Saccharomyces cerevisiae S288C: one gene and its partner. The protein of the gene in region 1 interacts with the protein of each later gene in a biochemical or structural test. Each region holds a gene or a part of one and is shown on either strand. Other genes may lie near its edges.

The links. The genes of interacting proteins can lie anywhere in the genome.
Region 2: the proteins of ACE2 (region 1) and CRM1 form a complex in vitro, tested with the Saccharomyces cerevisiae proteins (2 studies listed by BioGRID, with this or other methods).

The regions. Positions count from the first base shown.
Region 1 is NC_001144.5:405,062-408,822, reverse strand, and holds the start of ACE2 (DNA-binding transcription factor ACE2), read left to right. Parts: upstream 1-2,000; coding exon 2,001-3,761. Other genes in the region: bifunctional choline kinase/ethanolamine kinase CKI1, read right to left, coding at 1-378; USB1 (phosphoric diester hydrolase), read left to right, coding at 668-1,540. UniProt on the Saccharomyces cerevisiae protein: Plays a role in regulating basal-level expression of CUP1. Activates EGT2 transcription in the absence of SWI5.
Region 2 is NC_001139.9:931,000-934,760, reverse strand, and holds the start of CRM1 (exportin CRM1), read right to left. Parts: upstream 2,221-3,761; coding exon 1-2,220. UniProt on the Saccharomyces cerevisiae protein: Receptor for the leucine-rich nuclear export signal (NES).

The DNA of each region.
Region 1 (3,761 bases):
GAGATTTAATATGTCCTGCTTCAGATAATCCGAAGGTAAACTTGCATCCAATGTTTCCTTAACAAAGGGAATCTCAATATATTCCGACGAAGTCGAACCCAAACTATCTGTGACATCAGTTGCTGATGCTCTTCTTGGTCCCTTATTTGCGGTTTCAGAGACGTCCAGTTGCACACCCGCTACTCCCTCATTGACAGCTCTCAAATCGTCATCGTCAGTAATATTAGACACATCAGACTCGATACTGATGGTTCTAATCAGTCTTTGCGAGGAACGTTGGCGTGTTAACGAATGTCTTCTTTGAGAACTCGATCTGGACCTTGCTTGGTAACCGACCGAGTAACTTCTTACACTCCCTGGACGTGATTCTTGTACCATCTTTTGCTCTAATTTTACGTGCGTATCTATGTGTGTGTATTCTATAAGAGTACAAAAAAAAACTGTATATTGTTGTCCTAATTCTATAACTTTTCCATTTGGCTTATCCTTACTTACAGCCACAGAGCTTCTATTCTGTCTCTTCGAGATTTAACCGGCTGGGCCGACAAGAAAAACGGTAGAGCACCATGTGAATATTATACCATAAAGAACAAAGAACAAGAGAACGATCTGTTGGTGGTGTTCTAAAGTGAAGGAGGTTACCAATCGCTTAGAAGAAGACTGGCCTATGGAATTCATATCTGCAGACTATTCTAGCAGTGACGGTAGTGATACCGAGAGCGAAAGTAGTAACAAAAGTGAGGTCCAAATCGAATACACGGAGAAAACTTGCATACAGAAAGCCGATTCCACTGATTTACCTGCAATACCGGATTCAATTATATTGAAGTACCACATCCCTCCGAATTTACAAAAGTACGAGCACCAGGATATGAATATGAGTCGATTTTGGCGTTCGTTCACATATTTTGAGTGGCGTCCGACTCCAGCGATTCACCGACAACTTCAGAAAATCATATGTAAATATAAAGAAACATTTATGAAACAGGAATACACTAATCCGTATCAACTGGTGGATTTTGACCCGTTGTTCATCTCACACTTGGGAGCCCCCAAACCTTTACACGTTTCCTTAACTCGATCGTTGTTGTTTGAAACTGAAGAACAAAGACATGTTTTCATTCAAGAAATGCGTAATGGTTTACGAAATAATGAAATAACCCCTTTTAAACTTCAAATCTGCTCATATCCGAAGTTATATATATCAGAACGAGCCAACACCTTGTACCTCGGTCTCCCTGTCTCAGAATGTCCCAATAAGGCACAAATTTCTCCTTTCAAAACGATAATAGCTGAGGCACTTCAGAAATCAGGCATTTCAAACTATCAGGATTTAATTGTAAGTAGGCAAAATTTACATGTTTCAATTGCCATCGCTAGCAACCCTTCAAAAGCCACATTAAAACGTTATCAACAATTAAACGAGACGATGGGGGCGCTTTTACTACTCAATAATGACTTTGCATACAAACTAGAGTTCTTAGTTAACTCTATCTATTGTGATGAAAACCGTCACTCCATTAGAATCCCTTTTAACTAATAGTGTTATAGGAATAGCCGCCCAAAAATACCGGGGCACTGAGAGCGGCTCGTCAGATAGGTGAAGGTTGTCATAATATACGATATATATCTCAAAACGGCAAAATGTAAACATTGGCACTTTGGGAAAATTTCAGGACACTTTTGGTTTACAGGTAAAGGATAAGGATGCTTGTAGCTAGTAAATCAACTCCAGAAAGCATTTAGCCATTAACGGGCAAATATTAAGGAGGGAGTACTGTTTGTTTACTCGCAATATTTCTGTCCCTTTTCTTTCATTAAGGGTTTTATAGTACACATAAACTTATAACAACCTCTCTCGGCATTGTACCTAGCAAACAAAAGCTACGTTGCAGGGAGACTCAAGCAACAGTTAAAGTGCTAGAAGAAAAAAATACAAGGCATAAATTCAAGAAATAACTAAAGAAATCTATAGGACCAAAAACGGTGTTAATACAATCATGGATAACGTTGTAGATCCGTGGTATATAAATCCCTCAGGCTTCGCGAAAGACACTCAAGATGAGGAGTATGTTCAACATCATGATAATGTCAATCCTACCATACCCCCACCCGACAATTATATTTTGAATAATGAAAACGATGATGGCCTCGATAACTTGTTAGGTATGGACTACTATAACATCGATGACCTGTTGACTCAAGAGTTAAGAGATCTGGATATTCCTTTAGTGCCTTCTCCTAAGACGGGCGATGGTTCTTCTGATAAAAAGAATATTGATAGAACTTGGAACCTTGGTGATGAAAACAACAAAGTCTCCCACTATAGCAAAAAATCAATGTCCTCACACAAGAGAGGTCTAAGTGGCACAGCGATATTTGGATTTCTCGGCCATAATAAGACATTGAGTATTTCCAGTTTACAGCAATCCATTCTAAATATGTCTAAAGATCCGCAACCCATGGAACTCATAAATGAATTGGGTAATCATAATACGGTAAAAAATAACAATGATGACTTTGACCATATAAGGGAAAATGATGGTGAAAATAGCTATTTGAGCCAAGTTTTGTTGAAACAGCAGGAGGAGTTAAGAATTGCTCTTGAAAAACAAAAGGAAGTGAACGAAAAATTGGAGAAGCAGTTGAGAGACAATCAAATACAGCAAGAAAAGTTGCGTAAAGTATTAGAAGAGCAAGAAGAGGTGGCGCAGAAGTTGGTTTCTGGGGCTACAAATTCTAATTCCAAACCTGGATCTCCAGTAATACTAAAGACACCTGCCATGCAAAACGGTAGAATGAAAGATAATGCTATAATCGTCACAACGAACTCTGCAAATGGCGGATATCAATTTCCTCCTCCGACGTTAATATCGCCTCGGATGTCAAATACTTCAATAAATGGTTCACCATCCAGGAAATACCATAGGCAACGATATCCAAATAAAAGCCCAGAAAGTAATGGATTGAACCTTTTTTCCTCTAACAGTGGTTATTTGAGAGATTCTGAACTGCTTTCATTTTCTCCACAAAATTATAATTTAAACTTGGACGGCTTGACTTATAATGACCATAATAACACCAGTGATAAAAACAATAATGATAAAAAAAATAGTACTGGTGATAACATATTCCGTCTGTTCGAAAAGACTTCCCCGGGTGGGCTAAGTATCTCTCCAAGGATAAATGGAAATAGTTTGAGATCGCCCTTCCTCGTCGGCACAGATAAAAGCAGGGATGATCGATATGCTGCTGGCACGTTCACGCCTAGAACACAGTTGTCACCTATCCACAAGAAAAGGGAATCCGTAGTTTCCACGGTCTCGACAATATCACAACTGCAGGATGACACTGAACCCATCCACATGCGAAATACCCAGAACCCAACATTAAGAAATGCAAACGCTTTAGCGTCATCAAGTGTACTACCTCCTATTCCTGGTTCCAGCAATAACACTCCAATTAAGAATTCTTTGCCACAAAAACATGTATTTCAACATACTCCCGTCAAAGCTCCACCAAAGAACGGAAGTAACCTAGCTCCGCTTCTAAATGCACCGGATTTAACAGATCATCAGTTAGAAATTAAGACACCCATACGAAATAACAGTCACTGTGAAGTGGAAAGCTATCCGCAAGTACCACCTGTCACACATGATATTCACAAAAGCCCCACTTTGCATAGTACGTCTCCTTTACCAGATGAAATAATACCTAGGACTACGCCAATGAAAATAACCAAGAAACCAACTACTCTGCCT
Region 2 (3,761 bases), on another chromosome or scaffold:
AGAAATCATCGAAGAAACAGCTCTGTATAGCTGAAGCATATTGTAATAGATGTGACCCAACTGTGGATAGAAATCTGCTCCCATTGAGGTGCAGACAGCTACATTGGTTTTTATAATATTCGCAATAATTTTGACAGTTTCAGAATCTAACAACAATGTTGGGTTAGCAGTGGATTGTTCCACTATAGTGTCCCAAGCCATATTTGGCAGTTGCATCAAATCACTTAATAATCTATTTCTCTCCGCTACGCTTCTTTCTTCAGAAATAATAATACCACAAGCCTTGTAAAATGTATGGACCTGTTGCGGCTGTAGGTCAGCAGTTGTCTTTTGAATATCCCTAATTATTGTTTGGATGAAAGGCTCAGACTCACGGGGTTGTTGAATAACAAAATGATATTTACATTTTTGAACAATCTTAATGAATGTGTCACATGCCATATCCTGAACACCCTCATGAGTTTCATGCATAAATTCAAAAAGTTTCAAAATAACTGTTCTTAGAAAATTCCAGTGAGCCTTCAAAAATCTAGGATATTGGCCCACGACGTACATAATATCCGATGCAACAACAGCTTTATTATCTTTACCCCTTTTCTTGACCGTTAAATCTAGTAAATCTTTAATAACAGTAACTACAAACCTTTTTTCAGTATCTTCGCTCATTGTACCAGATATGGAACCAATAGCCCAAGATAAAGTGTTGATATTATGCCATGACCATTCGGAACCATCGATTTGCCTTGCCAATTTACTGATCATGATTTCTTCTGTATCGATAACATTCAAATGGGTCAAATATACAAGAACCTCTCTTTCTGATTTGTATAATTGGATAGTGTCTGATTCTTTAACGAACTCTCTAACAATTTCTCCTTCATCATTTTCAACCACAAGGACTTCTTCTGGTCTAACCATATTTTCAATAATGACCAATCTCAACTGTGAACAAATTTCTTCGTAAATATGTTTTTTTAATGGAAATCTTTTCATATATTCCGGATTTAGGGCGCCAGATCCAGTTGAGATAGCTTGTGAACCGACTGATAACTGTATCAATGGGCTCATTTCGGTAGCAGGCAAACGCTGAACCTCATAAAACAAATCTGCTACTAAATTATGCCAGTAATCCAATGTCGTCTTAAATAGTTCTCTTTCTTCGATTTTGGATAATTGAATTAAGTATTGGTGCGCATTCAACAACAACTCTCTTAACGATTCATCACTCTCTAGAAGGGCCCTATTACGAGCGAGATATGTAGTTAGAAACATTGCTAAATCTTGTAAGAAAGATTGATCATTACCGTTAGCATTTGCATAAGTGGCTTTCAGATCGGCAGTCACGGGCATCACACTTGTGGCAATTTGTTGTAGAGTATTTTGGAAAAAAAGTACAGTTTGTCTTTTTATCAAATCATTATCTTGTGGAATTTTTAGATTTGAAACCTCAGTCAAACATTTCAATGTGATGGCTCTTGTATCAGGCGATGTCATGAATTTGGTGCTTAATAATTCCAAAATATTGGTTTCATAAATATAACGATAAGGAATCCAATGTAAATATCTCAGTAAAGATTCTAAGGTTGCCACTATTAGAGAGCTTGAAGAACCTTGTTCCAAAACTTGAAAACATAATTTAAAAATCTGTTCAAATTCTTTTGACATGGAATTTTTCAAATGTAAAGCTTTAGCTTGTGTCATTTGTTCCGCAGAGAAATCGAAGACTTCTTCGGATAGCAGTTTCAAAACGATCATGTTATTTTCACAAACATTAACAGAGGAACTTGAACTGCCGATTAGTTCTGGGATAAATTCAGGCCAATTCTGAGGCCATTCCTGCTTTAAAATTTGGACCAAAGTCAAGTCCGACTTATTGATCAGGTTCTTTTGTGTTTTAAATACTTCATCGTCTTGGCACATGGAGATAATCATACCAACAACGAAGTTCCTAATTCCAATTCTATGATCATTCGGCAACAATTTCCATTTTCTAGTAATTAATTTATCAAGGATGGAAAGGGCAATAAATTTTGATTGAGGGTTAGTTGAGAATTGAAGAATTTGGTCAGCTTTTTGCCAAGCGTCTGGATTATCTTGAAATTTAGTCAAAATCTCTTGGGCTTGCTTTTGCTGAACACCTGAACCTTGATAGAATGTAGATACCACCTGATCTAATAGAGCGATATCTAAGTCGTTAGAAAAATCCAAAATTCCTTCCATATTATGTTTTTATCCTATTTTTGAAGTCAGTGAGCGGTTTCAATAATGTAGAGTAAAATGTTAACTTCTTCTTAATTATACTATTAGTTAAGTTTCTTGCCTTTCACAGGTCAACGTCTATTATTGTAGGTGTAAGTAATTGAAAGAGCGAGAATGATAGAAAAGAACAAAAGAAAACTTAACAATGATTGACTTTACTTAAAATAATCAGGCCAGAGAAATGAATAGTGTTGAGGTTCTCAAGATCTATGTCAAAGTTGTGACCGAATATCCTGCAGTTGATAATCTTTTTTGCCTTTGCTATTAGCGATAATTCATAATAATGCTAACGTAGGAAGAATAAGGAAAGCCAGGGAAATCTGCGAAATTCTTTTTTTTTCTTATAAAGAAAGATCATTCCAAATAGTATATATCTCCGGGTAATGATGTAATATTGCCCTTCATAATATATTATTTGTATTGAAACGATATAAGAGGAGAGGATTGACAGTAACTGGGAGGTATATAATGTGTACACAACATGAGAAATGGGTAAATGATGAGATAATTGTTGGGATTCCATTGTTGATAAAGGCTATAATATTAGGTATACAGAATATACTAGAAGTTCTCCTCGAGGATATAGGAATCCTCAAAATGGAATCTATATTTCTACATACTAATATTACGATTATTCCTCATTCCGTTTTATATGTTTCATTATCCTATTATATTATCAATCCTTGCACTTCAGCTTCCTCTAACATCGATGACAGCTTCTCATAACTTATGTCATCATCTTAACACCGTATATGATAATATATTGATAATATAACTATTAGTTGATAGACGATAGTGGATTTTTATTCCAACACAACAATTGAGTACTATCATATTCGTATGTTTCCGTTGTATCGCCATTCTAAATAAATGGAAAAGCTGTTAATATAATTGGCGTTACTTTTCGGATGAGCCGTATCGGCTGTGCATTTAACACCCGTTAAAGCTTCAAATACAAAATTGTTGGAACGAGAGTAATTAATAGTGACATGAGTTGCTATGGTAACAATATAATGCTTACATCGTATATTAATGTACACCTCGTATACGTTTAAGTGTGATTGCACCTATTGCAGAAGGAATGTTAAACGAGAAGCTGAGACAATACTGAAGCTGTGCTTAAAATCTATTAGTTGAACATGATATGGTAGGTACATATATGAGGAATATGAGTCGTCACATCAATGTATAGTAACTACCGGAATCACTATTATATTGGTCATGATTAATATGACCAATCGGCGTGTGTTTTATATACCTCTCTTATTTAGTATAAGAAGATCAATACTTATTTCTTCATTAATACTATTTTTTACCTCTAATTATCAACAAAAATAATATCCGGAATAATCAAAAAAGATTTAGAGTGCATAAATTAATTCCCTTCTAATGGGTACTCTTGCAATGTATAGTATTCTTTGCCCAGAGGAAGATAAAACTTATTCAGATCTCTTCAACCATTAAGATATAATCAGTAAGCGCAAGTGGTTTAGTGGTAAAAT